Arabidopsis thaliana: one gene and its partners. The protein of the gene in region 1 interacts with the protein of each later gene in a pairwise test. Each region holds a gene or a part of one and is shown on either strand. Other genes may lie near its edges.

Evidence for each region.
Region 2: the proteins of bZIP48 (region 1) and ERF1 interact in a two-hybrid assay, tested with the Arabidopsis thaliana proteins (one large-scale study listed by BioGRID).
Region 3: the proteins of bZIP48 (region 1) and AT1G06070 interact in a two-hybrid assay, tested with the Arabidopsis thaliana proteins (one large-scale study listed by BioGRID).
Region 4: the proteins of bZIP48 (region 1) and AGL18 interact in a two-hybrid assay, tested with the Arabidopsis thaliana proteins (one large-scale study listed by BioGRID).

Annotation. Positions count from the first base shown.
Region 1 is NC_003071.7:1,329,719-1,333,566, reverse strand, and holds bZIP48 (basic leucine-zipper 48), read right to left. Parts: upstream 1,649-3,848; coding exon 1,148-1,648; downstream 1-1,147. Other genes in the region: AT2G04039 (DUF2996 family protein), read right to left, coding at 2-103; AT2G04137 (phosphogluconate dehydrogenase (decarboxylating), NAD-binding domain protein), read left to right, coding at 959-1,042, 1,205-1,384.
Region 2 is NC_003074.8:8,293,085-8,297,639, reverse strand, and holds ERF1 (ethylene response factor 1), read right to left. Parts: upstream 2,024-4,555; 5' UTR 1,936-2,023; coding exon 1,279-1,935; 3' UTR 1,036-1,278; downstream 1-1,035.
Region 3 is NC_003070.9:1,833,807-1,840,233, forward strand, and holds AT1G06070 (Basic-leucine zipper (bZIP) transcription factor family protein), read right to left. Parts: upstream 3,953-6,427; 5' UTR 3,622-3,952; intron 3,339-3,621; 5' UTR 3,311-3,338; coding exon 2,664-3,310; intron 2,441-2,663; coding exon 2,308-2,440; intron 2,224-2,307; coding exon 2,139-2,223; intron 1,802-2,138; coding exon 1,395-1,801; 3' UTR 1,023-1,394; downstream 1-1,022. Other genes in the region: AT1G06060 (LisH and RanBPM domains containing protein), read left to right, coding at 80-155, 263-374, 469-560, 666-710.
Region 4 is NC_003074.8:21,231,046-21,236,878, forward strand, and holds AGL18 (AGAMOUS-like 18), read left to right. Parts: upstream 1-2,426; 5' UTR 2,427-2,864; coding exon 2,865-3,046; exon of another isoform or gene 3,047-3,566; coding exon 3,567-3,675; intron 3,676-3,768; coding exon 3,769-3,824; intron 3,825-3,912; coding exon 3,913-4,012; intron 4,013-4,096; coding exon 4,097-4,138; intron 4,139-4,238; coding exon 4,239-4,280; intron 4,281-4,362; coding exon 4,363-4,511; coding exon of another isoform or gene 4,512-4,515; exon of another isoform or gene 4,516-4,599; coding exon 4,600-4,690; 3' UTR 4,691-4,933; downstream 4,934-5,833. Other genes in the region: AT3G57380 (Glycosyltransferase family 61 protein), read left to right, coding at 1-627. UniProt on the Arabidopsis thaliana protein: Probable transcription factor involved in the negative regulation of flowering, probably through the photoperiodic pathway. Prevents premature flowering. Downstream regulator of a subset of the MIKC* MADS-controlled genes required during pollen maturation.

The DNA of each region.
Region 1 (3,848 bases):
CCAATGTTAGTGGTGGAAGCAAAGAAGAGGAAGAGAGAGTTGGTGTTGTTATAGAGATACGAGAGCTTGGGACTCCAAATGATCCTCCTGCTATTGTTGCCATAATTAGGAAGAAACAGAAACTGTAATTGAGCTTCTTCAACGATTACAAGATTCGTTGTTCTCAAAATTCTCAGTTTTTCTCCATTTTTTGCCTCAAACTCAAGACTAATGTTTTTTAGTGGACCAAAAGCAAAGGAAAAAAGAAGAGGAAATAAAACAAGAGACAAATGTGAAAAAGGCTGAGCCTAAGATTTGCCAACCACACACACAAAAAAGAGATATAGCATATTTTTATACCTACAAATAAAATTAAAAACACTTGCACTTCCCATTATAGTTATGTTTACTATCGTATGTAAACTTTAGTAATAATATGTTTACGTTGATCTTCCCATTGTAGAAGCACAAGAATAGAAGAAAGAAAGAGTTAAGTGTCGTTAGCTTAATTGGTAAAGACTCTAGGCAAAACTAATATTACGGATTTCGGCCCAGAACCAAAAAAAAAAAATATATATATAGAAGAAGGAAAAAAAATTGTCAATAGATTAGAAGCATGGACTAAATTGACATTTCATAAACTATCAGATAAAATGAATAATATTTTGTAAATTCAGATTAGTACTCCGCAAATAAATTTGATTGAGAACTTCTAACGTGCCCGACTGGAGTAAAATAAGATTCCAAATGACACTGGAGTTTTAGCCAAATTTCAATCACGTGGCGAAATCTTGTTCGTTCTTAAACTGCCAGTTAGAGATGCAAAAAGAATCAAAGTTTAGGGAGTAAACTGTAAATACTTCCTTTTCAAGTAAGTATTTGATGATAATGGCTCCCTGATTAGAAATGTCTCATTATTTTAGACCATTATCACTAAGCAGTAAGCACTATAAGTCTATAATCGCAGAAGATAGATAAAATGGAAGTAGGGTTTTCTATGGGTTTGGGAATCATGGGAAAGTCCATGTCAATGAATATATTGAAGAACGGATTCAAAGTCACTGTATAGAACAGAACACTCTCCAAGGTATAAAAACCAAAATTTTCTGCTTTTGATTGTGTTAATAGATTACGTTTTGTCTGATAAAGTTGGACACTTTGAGTAATACTAATTATCTTCAAACTCTCTTGGAAAACTATTGTTGTTGTTCTTGTTAGATTTCAGTTCACAAACAAGCTGTCGGAGATCAGAAGCTTCTTCTTTGAGTTTAGAGTTCTCCTTCAATACACAATTTTGAGTCTCCGATACGCGGTTCAGCTTATCGATAAGACAGTTGTTCTCGTTGCGAAGCCTTATTACCTGAGACCAGAGTTCATCAAGATGTCTCTGTTTCCTCATCCTTGACCTCCTTGCAGATTCTCTGTTCGAAAGCATCCTTCTCTGTTTCCTCTCGTCGAGTACCATGATGCTTTGATGATGATCTTCGTCGGAAGTTGAGTTGTTGCTTATCATGAGATCTTGACTGTTGGATGATGAGGAATAGTTGTTGTTGTTGATGATCAAATCGTTTAGGTAGTTTAAGGAAGAGGTTGGAGATGAAGGCATGTTTATTACGTTGTATTCCGGTGATAGATATTGGAAATATCCGTTGATTTCTGCCGGAATCATGGTTTTAGTTTGGTTTATATGAGTATGTAAGAGTTTCTGTGTTTTTATTTTGTGTGAAGAATTGGGAAGTTAGTTTTGAAGTAAGAGGAGGAAGTGGACCAAGGGTTTTATAATGGGGTTGTAGGAGAATCATGTAGAAGTGGGTCCTATGGATTATAAGAGCATAGAATAAGAAGAAAAAATGCGATGCTATAATTCGTAATTTATAGTGGTGGAACATGGACAAAGAAATGGAAAGAGTTTAGTCATAACAAAAATATTGTTAGTGTTTTATATATAACTTGTTCATTGGAAGTGAGAGCAGAAACTGCGAGAAGGTTTTTAAAATTTTGGTTTTTTTATATAATTTAAACCCAATAATAGTTAACTTGAGTTGTTTATTTTTGTAACCTAGATTTATACACGTAAACCCTTTTTTATTTTAATTTATGGTAAATTATATTAAAAAAAAATATTTATACAATGTTTAATACGCAGTAAAAAAAAATACAATGTTTAATACAAAATTTTCATATCTTTTAGTTTAAATCTATCCTTAGCATTTGTCTTGTCGCAACCAAGTTTGGATGCTTCCCTTCCCTAGAATGAACTTATAGAGAGAGAGAGAGAGTGATGCGGCTAAACTTTAATTAAAAGATTGGATACGTTTGAGCGCCAAGTTCGATCCATTATATGCATTTAACTTAAAAGATTCGACATGTCTATTGTTTAAAATATAACTAACTAAAGTAATTAAGTACTGACTTGTCCCTCATTCGTTTTCCTTTATAAGTGATCATTAAATAAGAACCCACACTCTACATCGTGGAGAAATATGTGTAGAAATTTTAGTTTGTTAATTTATATCATAAATTATAATTATAATATATTTTATTTAATAAGTTTATTTTGTAATTTTATATATTTAATTTATTATATCATATTTCAATGTAATTTTGCAATCGAATTAATAAATTTGACAATAATTCATCCAATGTTAAAATCGTTGATATCTAGAGAGTGAGACATGTTGATACGCAGAGAAATTCATCAATTCATAGAAACTAATCATAGCAAATTTAGAGGATTAACCGAAAACATGATATATTATGTTTAATTATGATATTAATAAAAATATTTGTATTAATGATTAAGAAGTATTTATGAATATTAATTATGGTTAAAAAACGTAATTTGATGTTTGTTGCGTTATCCCATTCTACATAGGATCTCGTTTGTTTCAATATTTTGGAAAATATAATAATGAATTTGAATATATAAAAGATATGATTTTTGTCATAGTATTTTTCGTTGTGAGTTTTGTTGCATTTAGTGTCCAAGTGAGTCTTTTGAATTTTAGAAGTCTTAGTGTCTTTATGTGTATTATGTTATTTTTTATGTCTTTTACACTACAATGGACATTCTTATCACGAGAAAAATGCTATAATATGTCTTTAATAACTTTTTCATGAACGCTATTTTAGGGCATTGTTATTATAGGTACCTCACATACAGTAGCGTGAGTTCAGTATGCTATGTTATAGTTTAATAACATAGCTATAAAGAACAGTTGTATTATCACGTTTAATTTTCTTAAAAAAATTATATAATATTTGATTTTTCGTGCTATGTTATATATCTCTAATATAGCTGTTGCGAAATGTTGTTTTATCGTGGTTTGCCTTTTTTCAATTGGAAAATAATTAGTCAAATTATGTGCTATGTTATGTTCTTATATCAATTTATAAGCTACGATAGATGATTAAAACATAGCATTAGTCATATGTTAAATATTCTATTACCTGTATTCTTATAGCATTTTCTGAGATGTGATTATAGTACACATAACACATAACCTGCTTTATAAAATCTCATACATTGACCATTGATTAAACATAAGTTTAGATCCAAAATACATAAGAAAAGTCTCAAGCACAAAATAAAGCAATACAGGAGCTAAGTGCATATGTTCTCTTTCCTTGTGTGGTAGGATGCAAAGCGTGTCGTAGACCAAGATGTTGCAGATCCTTACGTGCATTAAGACCATCCTTAGATTTTCCACAATGCAACAATGTGGATACAATACTGTGAGCCACGTTCTTTTCTGTATGCATTACATCCAAATTATGCCTTACTAGTAGATCCTACAATATAGACATACATATATTTTAGAAGTAATTGATGTATCATACTTAAACATATAAAAGCTATTTAAATCTGA
Region 2 (4,555 bases), on another chromosome or scaffold:
AAATCAAGTATGGTGTTTGTGGTATTTTTGAAAAATCAAAACTTTTGGTGGTATTTTTGGAACATTAAACTAATAGTGATATTTCTTACAACAAAATTTGAATGTGTGGCATTTTATAGAATTTTTCTATAATCAGTAATTGTTATACTATTTCCTATTACTAGAGATGGGGAATATTGATAGGATTGTTAATTATTATTCCAAATCATCAGATAAAAAAAAAATCAAAATTAACATTAGTTCATTCAAAAGTTTACAGGTTTGTCTTTAGTGAATAATTGAATATTAAGATTAGATTTTACAGGTTAAAATATTATAAAGAAATCTATGAGTTGATTTAATATGTCATTACCATAATACTATTTACCGGCTAAATTTTGATTACAATGCACTTGGTCATGACCCATACGCAAGCAAACCCAAAAGTTATGACAGATCGTTCTGGTGACCTCAACTACCAAAACAATAATGTGATTATGTGACTACTTTTTTTACCTAAAACGTTTTATCGGACAAAAGTTCTAGTTACAGATGCATCTCATTGCAAAAAAAAAGTTCAAGTTTCTGCATATTTAAATCTTTTTTATTCAATTATTCTTAGATAATTCCCTTAGAAAGTCACAAGAAAATCCATAGCTACTTTAAATCATGAATTAAAAATATATGTAAAATAGCACAAAAATTCTAGAAGTTGCCACCTAATCCGAAAGAAGTCAAGATTTTCATTACACTACCTGACCATCTTTTTCAGTTGTGGTCTATTTGAAACAAAATTAAAACACTTTAACTTATACTCCATTATTATAGTTAGCCATTTAGGTGGCTCCTAATTAATGATTAACAAAAATAAATTATACTACTATATAGAGTCGCTCCTCAATACTCATGGACTCATATATTACAGAACAATAAAAAGAACTGTCTTTGTATATTGTTATGAGCAATTGATTATGACCATCTTACACTATTTGTAGGCTTTGTGCAAAAAAATTATTATGTTAACTTAAAACATGTTTGAATACTCTAATAGCACATGCTTAAAGACAATCCTCATTACGATAAATAAGAAAAATGAGAGTTTTCTTACTAGTTGAATAGTAAGAGACAAAGACTTTTACACTAACTTGAAATTGATAAAGTCAAGTATCACAAAAATACATACAAACTGTTTTCGATGTTTCTCAATAGAATCAAATATTTAAGCAAACAAAAAACATATTAGGGTTAAAATTAATCAACCACTTCAAACTTAAGGTCCCTAATACAAATCCTAATCTTTCACCAAGTCCCACTATTTTCAGAAGACCCCAAAAGCTCCTCAAGGTACTGTTCTCCCAAATCCTCAAAGACAACTACATTATCTAACTTCACGGAGCGGTGATCAAAGTCACTATCTTTCGTCTTCTTATTGGTCATTCTCCGTCTCATCGAGTGTTTCCTCTTCAACGCCACAACCGGAGAACAACCATCCTCGTAGGTATATTTAATCTCCGAAAGCGACTCTTGAACTCTCTCCGCCGAAAAATTGAGAATCGCCGAGGACCCTCTCATCGAGAAAGCAGCTTGATCGTAGGCTAAAGCCGCCTCTTCCGCGCTTTCGAACGTCCCGAGCCAAACCCTAATACCGTTTCTAGTCGAATCTCTTATCTCCGCCGCGAATTTCCCCCATGGCCGTCGTCTTACGCCTCTGTAAGACTTCTCTGACTTTCTTGAGCTTACGGATTTGATCGGAAGGTCTTGACTATCCGAGTCAATATAGGTTTGTTGCGTGGACTGCTCGATTAGACCGTAGAGAAACATTTCCTCTGAGTCGTTCTCGTTGAAGGGAAGAGAGTAATTGTTAGAAGAAGAGGATGAGAAAGAATCTGGAGAAGATCCGATAGAATATTCCGGTGAGAAGCCGGAGAATGGGGACTGAATTAAAAATGGATCCATGTAGAAAAAATACTCTGTTTCTTGACTACTCTGTTTTCGGTTAGGGATCGTTAGTGGATTGACATGGTCTATATATATAGAGAAAAAAATGAGTATGTATATGCAAATGTCCAAATTAGACTTGAGTTTTTACTGTCTCAGTGAAAGACAAATGTCATGTAATAAAAGGGTGAAATGGGAATTTACGAAAAATAATGTTACACTCAAATGAAAAACTATGTTGCTTCGTCGAAGATTCGAGCAAAGACGTTTTGCATATTTCTTCTCTTCGTGTGATATTTAATGTTTTCGTAATATATGAATTGTTTTGTACCGTTTAAACTAATCTTCTTACTGTCGTGAATCGTAATTACGTGAGACTAATATGAAACTGTATATTATGTAATTATCCCAGAATTGGTATGTATATTTAGGTATATATTCTTCAAATGTAGAATGAGCAGTGTAGGTTAGGTATATCATTTCGTATTATCATCACATGATTCATCGAAATTTTGTCACTTTTGCATCATATCACATTTCTTAGTTTAAATATAATTTATTTTTCTTTTTATGACGGTAAGGTTTATGAATCATGTACGACCTAAAAAAGATTAACCACATATGAAAACAACTAAAATGTTATATTTTGTAGTATATATCAGGATTACTTTGGTGTACCCAAGATATTATATTTTATAAGTGAAAGATTTATGATGATGTAAAAAGTTTTAGAAAATACTGATTTGATGCTATTTGATAAGTTTTATCAACCTACATGCCACATTCAGATCAAATTGAATCTAGAAGAAAATAAGATGGCGATTTTAGTAGAAAACTAAAAATCAGTTGACTAAAATTTTTATAGATAATTTTGATATGCAAATAAAATTCCCATCTTATAATTTCTAAGTGGACTCCACTTATTTGATCTAAAACAACTTATGAATAAAACAAATAACTGCGAAAGTTCACATTTCACGAACAGAAATAACAAGATCGATGTGAAAATGATTAAGCCATATTCCAAAATAACTGCTGGATCAACTCAACAAAACATTTTCATGCTTAGGTATTGCAAATATGATTACATAAAATATCAAATCATTATCCTATAATCTTAGGAAGCTATTATTAATTATTATTAAAGAAAATCTTTTGGCCAAAAGCATGGTTAAAGAAAATTGTTGGTTGGAAGGATTCAAGATACATGCCCCCTTGAATCCCAAACAACAAATAATTTCGAGCCATCTCATGTTTAGAAGATAATTTGGCTTTATCTGCTTTCAACTTCTTTCTCAAACAAAAAAGATACTTCATGTGCCATTTTTTCATTTTTTCTAGTTTCCTTTGTTTTTTTCTTCACTATTTCTAGTTATCTTATAGTAGAAATATATTTCAAATTTGGTGCAAATTATAACCAAATTATAACTCTTAAATTATATGAGTTACCTAATATTTTCTTAAACATTATCCCAATTACATTATTTTAAGTCATCTAATTAGTTGATCAAATTTATAGTATTATCGGAAAACAACATATAAATGTTCAGAAAACTGATGACCCCTCTAAAATCCTGGCTAGTTTGATCATAAACTATCTTTCAACCATCCTTAGATATTTTTTTTCTTTTCCAAATGTTGAATCGATTATCCAAATCTAGCAAATTTAATAATTCTTCAAAAAAAAGAATTTCCTAGTTTTTCTCACATCTTTTCTGTTTTAGTTATTTACATTTACTTTTATTTTGTCAATAGTCATTTAAAACAATGTAACAAAAGTAGGAGGTGTTGAAAATAATTATTCGAACGGATACGCAACTAAATTCTATTAGAACACTACACATCATCACATGCATCCTGAGTCCAGTAGGACACAAAATTATTTATTCTTTCTTAAGCCCATCCAAAACTATGCATAACTGATTATTTGATATCCCGCACGTGTTCAAAGTTTTTGGCTCTATTTTAAACTTCAAACCTGGACATTGTATCTCTTTTGGCTTTACTTTAAACTTCATTTTTTTGTGGTAAAATACTTTAAACTTCTTACACGTACCGAAAATGAATAAATTAATTGATTTCAATATTGACATCAGAAAAGTAACCCAAGAATAATTGCTTTTGATATCAGTTGCTAAATGATTTCCATAAATTGACACAAAAAATAATAATATAATTATTCGAATAATTACTAATACTTCATATAAAAATAAACAAGTTTTCTAAAATGATTTATATTCCTCAATATTTTCCCTTCGGTCAGTGGAAGCTCCAGAATTTCAATTCTTAGTGATTCAAATTTTTATATGGAAATAGGCAAATATAAAAAGATTATTTATAGTCAAATCAAAAAAGAAAGAAAACAAAGTCCAGTAAGCATTCAAATTTGACTAAGGTGTTAGGCGTAAGGCGATAGCTACACATTCATGGTACGTGGTCATATTATTTGTATATTTTCTAGTCATTTTTATGATTTTATAGTCATATCAGTTAAAAAAATTTAATGTATTTACATGATTTTCTTAAATTATTTATGTATAATCGGCAACATTTTCTGTCGTTCGGAAAATCCATTTGGATTTGAAACAAAAGAATTTCTGGACTCAAATCAATTTTTTTTTCGAGTGAATGAAAAAAT
Region 3 (6,427 bases), on another chromosome or scaffold:
GATTTTATGATTGGTCTTCCATTAGAAACTCTGGTTTTATCTGTGCCTGTAATCTTAAAATGATTCTCTGCGTGTGCAGCACCGAAGCTCTCAAATTTGGTAAGACAAGATTGGCTCCTTTTGGGAAGGTCAAAAAATATGTAGAAAAGCTTGAAGTAAGTCTGAATCTTGTTTGATCCTCCATTATATTCGTCTTGATGTATTGGTAGATTACTTGTTATGTTCTTCCAAATGATGGTAGATTTGTTTTTTCCTGAGACAGGACGTAATGGCATTGCTCGCTTATGAAGACCCTGAGAAATCCCCAATGTTCCATCTTTTGAGCTCTGAATACCGCCAACAAGTTGCTGATAATCTGAACCGCACAATTCTTGGTCAGTTCTTTTTTATTTTTACCTCCACGAAAATCTCTACCGTCCTGTGACCTTAGCAAATTACAAGTTTTAACTCATTCTTCAAATTATGTAGAACACACAAACCACCCGAGCTACACACCAATGGAAAGGATCATACAACAGGTGACAGTTGTGAGACAATACTTGACTGAGGAGAATGGCAAAGTAATCGTAGTATTTCAGTATTTTTACTCATATATCTGATTCGTTGTAGAAGCCCTGGGAATAGTAGGTGCCTGTGTTTAAACGCTATTTCATGTCTTATGATAGGATGCGTTTCCTCCATTCTCTCTGAAGGATTCTCTCAAAGGCTAAGATCGCAGGACTACTCCAAAGTTTGCTAGGAGGAGGATATGCTAAGCATTGTCATGTAAATACAAAAAGACCTTGCTCCTCTCTAAAGTTTGCAAGGTTAGTCTTCCATGGCCACAGGCGGGGTTTCAGTTTGCTGTTACAGGAGATCAATATTGTGAAGGACAGTTTCGGCTTGGTTTGGTTTGGTTTGGTTCAGTTCTCTACCAGAAGATTGTTTCATCAACTTTGTGTGAGTTTAGTCGATAAATCTGTAATCCATATCTTTGGAATACACATTTCTCTTTGTAACTATCGTTTATGTTTTGATAGAATACTTGCAAATTCAAGGTTTTATTTTTAGACATCACAATTCAAGACCAAATGAGACTTTTCAAGTAACCAAAATGAACAAAAGGCAAAGAATATGAATATGGTTAAACGACTACAGACTTGGACTAAGGACCCATTTCTAACCAAATGACCAAATCCAAGAACTTTTTAAGAGCTTAGGATCATACAAAGAGAAGATTGTAAACTACCAACAGACGAGAACAAAAGCTTCACTAACAACTTCTAAATCCGCAACTTCTAAGCTGTCTTGTTTTTAACTCTATAATGCAGTAAATCCCAAATCCATGAGCCTGCGATGAAAAAGAAGATTTTCCAAGAGTAACTTACTAAATTGGACATTAGCACAGTCTAGACTCAGTCTTTTGTCAAGGGAGTTTCACGATCAGGCGATGTCACACTCTCTTTCTGACCAGGAGAAGGCATGGGTCTTCTTAGCTCTGAAGCCCCGCTTTGTTGTTCCTGTTGTTGAAGCCGTTGCTGCTGCTGAAGCTGGTACAGTTGCTGCTGTTGAAAGTGAAATTGCTGCTGCTGCTGCTGTTGTTGTTGCTGGTGTTGCTGTTGTTGTTGTTGCTGTTTCTGTGACTGGATCTGGAGCTGCTGTAACTGTTGTGCGGCTAAGATAGTGTGCATCGACTGATTATTGGGATAGAATTGCTGGTTTGATCCAAAAGAACCGTAGTTCATTGATGTACCATTTGATGGACCTTGCCCCGTCAATACCTTAAGATGCTGGACTTCCTCCTTTAGTGCATCATTTAAAGCTGTCAAACAGATAAAGACGATTAAATCAAGTAGCAGCATTCACAACAAAGTGCAGCGAATATCTCGACGGGGGACAAATATTTATAGACTTTCTTAACCAGAGAAATGGCATTGAGTTTTGAAGGTGTATGTTTATGTGTTATTCAAGATTCTGGATCTGTATTTTAAGCTTTGTATGACCACAAACATGGCATACAATCTTACACTGACAGATCCAGAATGTGGTATGTCATATATACTACACCTTCGACAGTCATTGACAATGTTTATTTGCATTGATAGTAAAGAGATGAAGAAATATCAGCTCCTAGGAAGTATGTGAGAAAAGATCCTCACCATCCTGTAGGTGGACCTGTTGCTCCATAGTTTGTACTCGCAGTTTAAGCTCATTGTTTTCAACACCCAGGCCATTTGTATCTCTCTGAACACAAGGATGAAAAGAGAACAAGATTACAACCATAAACTTACAAATATCTTAGTCTAGAGTTAAATTTGGTCTCCAAACCTGTAAGAGAGTCAACTGGGCTGAGAGAGATGTGGCCTCTGTTTGTAAAGTCTGTACTTTTCTCTCGAGCTCTGCAATGTATCTCATCTTCCTTTCTTTTGACCTCGCAGCAGACTGCCTGTTTGCCCATATCCTATCAAATGATACAACATGTCACGCATCTTATACAAATTCATTACTAGTTACCGTAATTTACGAGTGAGCTACTTCTAGATGAAGGGTTATGTAAAACTCCAACAGATCAGTTCAGCCAAGCTTTATTCTTTTTAGTCAACAACCCTAGATAATGTTTCACCAAAAACTATACAACTTCTTAAAAACATAGAAGGAAAACTGTTCAGAAAAGAAAAAAATACCTCTTGGCGCGTTTTGGATCAATGAGAGCAAGCTCAGAAAGTTTAGCAGCAGAGATGGCTTTCTTAGAGTCAACTCCAGACACATCTTCATTCCCTGACATAAGCATCTCAGGCTTGATAGTTGTTGAACCATCCATCGATTGGCTGTGTTGGTGTCTAATTCTCGGTCTTTCACTAGAGCTACCGGGTGTACTCTGAAGGTTAGAAGTCGAGGCTAATTCATTCCTCCAAGTCGGTTCTGATGGCTCACCCATTTGAGAAGTCGATGTAGCAGAAGAATTGAATTTTTCCATATCAAGATACATATAGAGTAAGTCCTCGTCAGTATCATCAGAGAAAGAAGGTCCATCAGCAGCACCAACCACACCAAGATCACTATCAAAGCTTAAGTCATCAGGAAGAGTAAGAATCTCTGAATGAGCTCGGCGATGGCCTAGGTTCTTAGGTGGATTATCCGGCATTCGGCTAATATCATGGCTGAATCGGTTAGCATCTGAGCTATTGCTTCCACTTGGAGTCAAAGGAGGAAAAGATGATTCAGCTTTCATTGCAAAGCTACTTCCATTAGGTGAAAACGCAGAGTAACGACCCGATGGTGGAGGAAGACCTCCACTAGGTGGTGGTGCAGGAGATTTCTCCTTATCCATTTCAAGAACTTGACCTAAACCCACTAATCTGCATACCATTTATTCCCGAAAAAAGATAGATTATATTCCATACTAGAACAGATTAGGGTTTCATCTTTAGCTATCAAATTCATTTGAAACAATCACACGCTTTATCTCAGCGATTATATTCCATATTAGAACAGATTAGGGTTTCGTCTTAGCTATCAGTTTCCTCAACTAAGGAGATACACAACCCTAAAACAATCACACGCTTTATCTTAGCCTTAATTCAAAACGAAAACCCTAAAATAAGTAAAAAGATAGGATCTTTTGAGTTTTCACGCACTTACAGAGATCTAATGAGAAGCCTCCAGAATCCAAAGCAGAATGTCCAAAGAGAGATCAACGAGACACAAAATTAAAGGTGAAGAAAACTTGAAATTTGAAAAATCACTAAATCAGAGAGATCCGACGAGAGAGGAGGAAGAAGAAGAAGAAGAAGAAGAAGAAGAAGTAGAACATTCTCTCTCCCATTAAAGGATCCTTCGAACTAGTGTGCATCAGAAGATTTACGGCGTAAACGATGTCGTTTAAACGTAATTTGGTTCGGGTAAGTGGTACTTTTGTCGGAATTAGGGTGTAATCAGCTGCGTTAGCGTGTTGCAATGAACGATGTTACTGACCGTTGGATGATGATCAATATGTCTGGTTGGTTCGTGAAGAGCGTAAATAAATTATTTTTGTCAAATTGGTTCACGTGGTTGCTAATTTTTGGTTGGACCGTCGAGAGTTGCTTGCGAATACTACTACTATTTTTGATGACTTTCTAATTTTTCTTTTATAAGAAAATACTAACCAGGAAGTTATAACCATGTGATATGTTTTCAATATTATTAATGCTGACGTACGATTTCTTTCAATCATATGAAAATCTAATATTTTAAAAGAGAAATGAAAGAGTTTGAAACCATTGCAATTTCAGTTTCATAAAATATATGTTTCTTACTATTTGTATTTGTCAACGCTCTTATAAGTACTGTGATTGTTGTTGATTTCTGGATAAGGGAGCATGGGGACTAATATTCTTTGAAAATAATCTAGAGTGGGCCATCGTTTATGGGCCGCATGGTAAAAGATAGGGCCCATAGTACTACTACCCATCACACTTGACCGACCTCTCTCACCCATTGACAATTGAATGGGCGTGTTTACTCCTCTCAACAACCTCGTCTGGCCATACTTCAATTCAATTCCTAAAATTATGGGATTTGCAAATTATTTGCTAGAAATATTTTCATTCTACCAAAAAATCCGGATATTCGTAATAATCAAAAGAAAAATAAGTAGTAAAATATATAGTGTTTTTTACAGTGAATTTTTCTGCATATATTCTCACGTGACCTTGTTGGCTCTATAGTCACAAGTTAAGCCTTAGGGGGTACCCATAACCCATACGAAATAAGGCAGCAATATGATGCCAATTGAAATGGTCAGGCAAGTATATATACAATTATGTTACTCACAAAGGATTCTCAAATGAAAAAAAGAAAATGGTTGAAAAGTTCCATTATAGATATGTAGTTTTATAGCAGAGTACGTAATGTAGTTTTCTACAAAATAGGTGTTATTGCACAGTTTTAGGGTTTGGTATCGTCATATATTGTTCGGCTTTTTTCTTACTTGGAGAATTTAATTGGACCTACATTTCGCTTTCGTATTAAATAATTCTAAATACTTACTATTTTTCTGGTTGACGGGGATGTAAAATTTGAGTCTACACTCTAGAGTCTGCTCGTGCATGTCGGGTTTATTTGTATTCATGTTACTTTTTAGTTGCTTCATATGTTTCTGTAGTTATAGAAAAATGCTTGTTTTCATGGTAGATCAAAGATACATAAAACAGTAAAACTACCTGCTCCATTATGTACATAGAACAGCGTGTCCATTTTTTTGTGGAGATCAAGATGATTAACTAAAAGCAAGAAAATCAAACACTAAGCAAATTGAGATGTCAAAATGGTAACCAAGATTGACTGGACCATATGTTATTTAGCTAGTTAAAGCATAAACGAGAAGCAAGACCATTATTAAGTACGATACACTAATTAATTAGTAACATTGTTAGAAAGGTGCACACAAAAAAAAGTAACATTGTTATTTTTCTTCTGACCTTACCCAGACTTGTTCAGACATCAGGTTTTTACCAACAACCTATTGGGTCTCAGGTTATTCTTTGAGTCCGATTTTTTTTTTATCGTCATAAAAATATATTTGAATTCCTTTCATTACTTGTCAGGGAAAATAATAATGATGACAAAAGATCATATGTTTTTTTTTTACTTTTGCATATTTTTACTTCAATGTTTTTATAGTCCAGTAAAAAAGTAGCAGTGGAGGTTCGAATCAATGGCGAGGCATGGCCTTGAATGGTGGCAAAAGAGAAAGAACCGGATTGGACACCGACCCACATCAGATTTGTCATTAGGATCCCAGAAACAGAGGAAGCCTCATTGAGATCTGTGATTCGTCATTTACTACTTTTTATGTTGTAATTAACCTTAATAATAGGTTAATATATATAAAACAAAATTTGTGTTACTGGTGAATGGTAAAGAAACAATGGGTCGGACCCCTTGTGGTTTTTGCAGGTGCATCATTGACTTTTTGGTCCCAAATCTAATTAATGTCTTCTGTAGTTATGACGTTGAATCTATCACACTGTGGCCTGTGGGTTCTCTTACAATCTACGAAATAGTTCTTTTGTAGTCTATAGGGTTTATACATTCTATTATTTTATTTTCAAATCTCCTAACTTATATAAGTTATAAGTGAATTCAACTTTTAAGTGAATTCAATTTTTAAGTGAATTCATGGAGTATAAGTTATAAGTGAATTCAATTTTCTTTAACTTATAACCTTTCTGAAGTTTTTTTGAACCAAATGATTTTTAAAACTGCTAATATATTATAATGCCCGATAATTTTAGATGAACAAAAATGCTAGTTATAAAACATCGATAAAGAAATCAGCTGAGATAGACAATATTTGCCGTTTCATTAATTACTTTGCATGTATGAATAAATTTCACAAGAACTCGATTTTTTCTTTCTAAGCTGAGTAAATAATGTTTTCGTTGTTACGATGTTAAGACTACGA
Region 4 (5,833 bases), on another chromosome or scaffold:
CCACGTATCCATGGATTGATTCAAGAGGAAGAACTCAAGGCAGCTAACAAGACAGAAGACGGTTTCAAGAAACCAATATTGGTGATTCTGTCTAGAAATGGATCGAGGGAGATACTAAATGAGAGTCTTTTGGTTGAATTAGCTGAGGAAATTGGATTCATCGTCCATGTTTTGAGACCGGATAAAACAACAGAGCTGGCAAAAATCTACAGATGTTTGAATTCTAGTGATGTGATGATTGGTGTTCACGGAGCTGCAATGACACATTTACTTTTCTTGAAACCGAAAACAGTCTTTATACAGATTATACCAATAGGAACCGAATGGGCTGCTGAGACTTACTATGGTAAACCAGCTAAGAAGATGAGATTGAAGTACATTGGTTACAAGATTAAACCGAAAGAGAGCTCTTTGTACGATGAATATGGCATCGATGATCCCATTATCCGAGATCCTAAGAGTTTTACTCAAAAAGGATGGGATTACACTAAGAAGATTTATCTTGAGCGCCAAAACGTGAAGCTTGATTTGAAAAGATTTAGGAAACCGTTGTCTCGTGCTTATGATTTCTCGATGAAGCGAATTGGACTGGTGTATATCAGTCACAAACCGGATGTTACCAATTAAACCGGGGTTTGAGATTGTATAATATAATTTTGGAGATGTAAACATTTTGTACAGAGAATGCATAGACTTTCTTTTGTGTCGTACCTAATGACACAAATTTACAAGCTTTTGTTCTGTATAGAAATCACTAACCGGAGAATACCAACTAAACTGAGTTTTTTTCACACTTTTTCCACTGAGTTCATACCACATTCAACTGGGTCTAAGGGCCCAAATATTATTTGCTTTATAGGCCCAAAGTCCCAAACATGCTAATCTTTCATGATACCTCCTCCATACGTCTTTTTTACAATTTTGTGTGTTTTACAAAAAAAAATTTTGCTTAGTAATCTATTTGTTAAGATTTTTTCCGTTTCTATTTGATAAGAATATATTCGATATATTTTCAATTTATACTGTATAGAGTAGCTTGTTATAATTATCATCAAATTTCATTGTTTTTTTCATAAACAAATATGATTAAAATTGATCTAGAAGTCTGCACGAAGAAAAGTAAAATGGAAACAAATTGCAGATTTGCATGTAATTACGACAAGTGGCTCATTCTCTTTTTTAGCATGTTACAGAAGTGTCTGGTTAATGGGAAAAAAAAATATTGAACTTTCTTTTATTTTGTATATAAACCAACCTTATGTGAGTAATATCCCAAAGAGGTTTCTTTTAAAATATCTTTGGGTTTTTAATTCATTTATGGGAATTTCTATAACAAAATTTCACCACAAATAAATGTTGTTCCTTTCGTAGAAGAAAACAAAATCTTAAGAAATCACGTTATTTTCGTATTTGATGGTAGTTTATAAATTTCGAAAGATGATTCAACGCGATTCATACGAGATATTATTTTTTTGACAACAACAAAAGATAGTAAAGTGTTAAAAAAAAATGTGTAAAGTTTTATGGAGTATAATTTAAAGATTTATCTTGAATTGAGAATGTGTAAATCACATTGGTTAAAGTGGAACTAAATATTTTTTTAGTAAATTATTTGTTTTTCTCTAGCTTAGTTTTAATTTCAATTTTGGAAAAGGGAGAATATTGACCAAAAACAAAAAGAGCACGATTAAATGACCTAACACTACATTTAGAAACACGCATCTGAATTATTTACATTGCAAAACAAAAGTGTTGAGCTGTATAGCATGTATTTATATTTACTTAAATACTTTCCATATCTATAAAAAGATATTTGCTCACCAAAATTTCACAACCGAACTAATTTTATTTATTATTACTAATGTTTAGATAATTCCACAAATACAGTGTAATTCTCAAAATATAATTTCGGTTACAATAGAAAGTCTTCTCTAGAAAGAGATATTTTTCTTTTACTAAAAATACAACAAACTCAGTTTGGAGGGGAAAGTAATCTTCCTTGTGAGATTTTACTATCTATAGAAACGTTAAAGCCACACCTTTTGCTTTTCTTATCATATTCTTCTTCAAATACGGCCACGTTTGGCCATTCTACTAGATCTCAACCCAAAAAAAAGAAACAAAATCTCAACCAACAAGAAAACAAAGCTAAAGAGAAAAAAAAGAACACAGTAGTTGTTATTTCATAAATCTTTTAAAGATATGAAAATATCAGTTATTAAATAAAACAGTATCCAAAACAACTAAAAATAAAGACTATAATAAAATGAAATAGTTGATCAAATATTTCCTTATTATAGGGATCAACTTTATTTGACTATATAAAAAGTAACATTTCTGTAAAGCAATAAAACAATAAAATTATGGAAGATTAAGTTTTAGAAACGTAATAAAAAGCATGATGACCTAAAAGCAAAGCCAAAAAAGAAAAACCCTAGAAGATAAAAAAAAAGGGAGGCGATACACGAAATAGAGAAGAGATCCAAAACCAAAACAAGGGCGTTATAAATGGGAAGAAAGTTCCAAAAGAAGAAAACAGCCACTCACACCAAGCAAAGCAAATTAGCAAAGCCACCAAATATGGAAAATTGCTACTTATAGTAACTCCCATCTTTTTATATAATACCCTAATTTTGGTCCTAATTTTCCTTCCTTAGCCCCTTTCCCAATATTTGATCAATTTCTAAAGAAAACCCCTTCCTCTACTAGTCCTCCTCCTATATATACAAAATCTTAAGAAATCTCTCTACTTGTTTCCTCTGTTATCATAATCTCTTCTCTCTATATCTCTTCTCTTCTTCTTTTACCCTGTTTTTTTTTTCATTCCACAGAGCCCAGGTTGATTGATTTTGTTATTCAGAGATATGGGGAGAGGAAGGATTGAGATTAAGAAGATTGAGAATATCAACAGTCGTCAAGTCACTTTCTCTAAGAGACGAAACGGTTTGATCAAGAAGGCTAAAGAGCTTTCGATTCTCTGTGACGCCGAGGTTGCTCTTATCATCTTCTCCAGCACCGGCAAGATTTACGATTTCTCCAGCGTCTGGTATATTAGTTATCATCTCATGATTTTGCTTCTTTTTTTTTGCTTTGGGGAAATAAAAAGTTTTGCATTTTTATGGGTTTTTGTGTCTAAAGTAAATGAAAACAGAGCAACCCCTGTTTATCTATATCCTAATCTGGCTAAATCTTTAGGTTGATGATGAAATAATTTTGATGGGTTATGATTTTAAGGTTTGGAGAATTGAGATTACGATTTTTGCTATCGGATTAGTTTGTGTGTTTTATAAACCCTAACTGTTGATGAAACTACAATTTGGTCACTATCTTTGGTATCAGAATTTGGGAGATGCATTTGTCTATGTATATATCAGTTGTTAGAATCTCAACTCCAGAATTCTGAAAGATCGTTAATTTCTAAGATTATTAGACCATAGAAGTGTTTATCTTATCTTTATGAAGAAATTTGAGAATGCAGAAGTTTAGATTCATGATTTTTTCCTGTAATGATCAATCAAACCAATTACGGGGTTTTACTAACGGAGAGTTTTGTTCAATTTGTGAAGTATGGAGCAAATTCTTTCTAGATATGGATACACTACTGCGTCCACTGAGCATAAACAACAAAGAGAACACCAACTTCTAATTTGTGCTTCACATGGAAATGAAGCTGTGGTAAGCAGAGACTCTCTACCAAGAATTTATTTTTGTATCCCTTTGTCTGTGTTCAAGTTTTTGGTTTACCTTACATGGTATTCGTTGTTGTAGTTGCGAAATGATGATTCTATGAAGGGGGAACTTGAAAGATTACAGCTTGCAATTGAGTATGTATCTCACTGGAAAAAGAACTTGCGTTTGTTCTTGGTTAAAGTTTCGGCCTTTCATCGGTTTTTTCTACTTGTTCGTGAACAGGAGACTTAAGGGTAAGGAGCTTGAAGGTATGAGTTTCCCGGATCTTATTTCTCTTGAAAACCAGTTGAACGAGAGCTTGCATAGTGTCAAGGATCAAAAGGTGAAGACAAAATACTAATTTATTCAAACATCGAGAGATGATTTTTGATTCATCCCTGTCTTGAAAAGTTTTGTTTTGATTCAGACACAAATCCTGCTCAACCAGATTGAGAGATCCAGGATACAGGTACGAACAGAGCTCCTCAAATGTCAGAATCATTGTTATTATCAATTCGTATACAATGTTGAATCTCAACACTCTTGTTTTGTTTCCTTGTCATTAATAGGAGAAAAAAGCATTGGAAGAAAACCAAATCTTGCGCAAACAGGTAAAGATTCATCAAAACCCTTATATTAGCTCGGTCTGGTCTTCACCAGTCATAACTGAGTTCAATTCTAATTTGCCCTCAGGTTGAGATGTTGGGGAGAGGTTCAGGACCAAAAGTGTTGAATGAAAGGCCTCAAGATTCTAGCCCAGAAGCCGATCCCGAGAGCTCTTCATCAGAAGAGGATGAGAATGACAACGAGGAGCACCATTCCGACACTTCCTTGCAGTTGGGGTAAACTGCAAAACAAAGCCCTAACTTCTGTTACAAGCTTTTATTGTTACTGAGCATTCTACAAACTTGTTGGTTTGATCTTTCTTAGGTTGTCGTCGACGGGGTATTGCACAAAGAGAAAGAAGCCGAAGATCGAACTGGTCTGCGATAACTCTGGGAGTCAAGTGGCTTCTGATTGATGGAATCGATTATTTTTCTAATTCTGGTTGTTTAGGGGTCTCTATGTGTCTTCTTGTTTCTGGCTGTTCTTTTGCTTTATTTCATCTCAAGTAGAGTTTTCTTAATGTTTAGGTGGAACATTTTTCCATAATCAAGAAGGGATTTGATCAATCAATAACATTAGATTTTCTTAGTTAAAGACTTAAAGTTGCCCACACACCACACCATATGTGATTATGATGAATTTACATTTTATAAACAGGTTTTCAGTGATTTCAAGAAACATAAGCGTGCATTCATTTTTTTTTTGCTTTAACTAGAACCCAAATCTTCAATAGTTTTCATGAATCGACTTTGAAAATACATAAATCCACAACATTAATATGATTAAGCATTCTTGAAATCCTAAGTTAGGTGAACAGAGAGTTAAGAGTAAATGCTCCTAGACATGGTTTAGTCGATTGCAGATAATTCGGGTCAGCAAAGAAATGTGATCACTAAGCAAATCTGGGTTGCGTAAACTCGTTGACAATAAACGGAAGCGTCTTACCCCTTTTTTCCGGCCCACTTCTTTACTTGGGCCAAATAATTTTATTTTGGGCTTTTTTTAAAAGGATGATCTTAATTGTGTGTGGGCATTTAAGGGCACCGACAATTCAAAGGTAGCCGACGGCTTACAGAAATATGGCTGCTCAGATCATCAGAGACCCCATACAATAAATATTTATGTTTCGAGAAATAAATCACCAGATGGTTGACAAGTTGCGGCAGTAAGTACATGTTACTTTTCTTGTCAGAAAGTACAACAACAGTACTTTTTTTATAGTCGACACTAAAATTAAGACTCGTATTTAGTAATGCAGAAAAATCTTTACAAAAATATACTATATACTCCTGAGAAAAAGCAGCTGATTTGACTGAAATAAAGAAAATGTTAGTAGTCTAGTAATGATTTGTGAACTACAAACGTTGTTTAAGGCGTTTACAGTAATATTAACATTACGGAATACAAAAGGGTGATGACTAGTCGACAAATAAAAATGGTAATGAGTCTAAATGACGAAATAATTAAAGAAATGTGTGAAAGGAAGAGAATAATAAGCACAAGTCCCGGACCTGAAAACGGAAAGATCAGAAGAGCCACGTGTGCAGGAGCTTGAAGA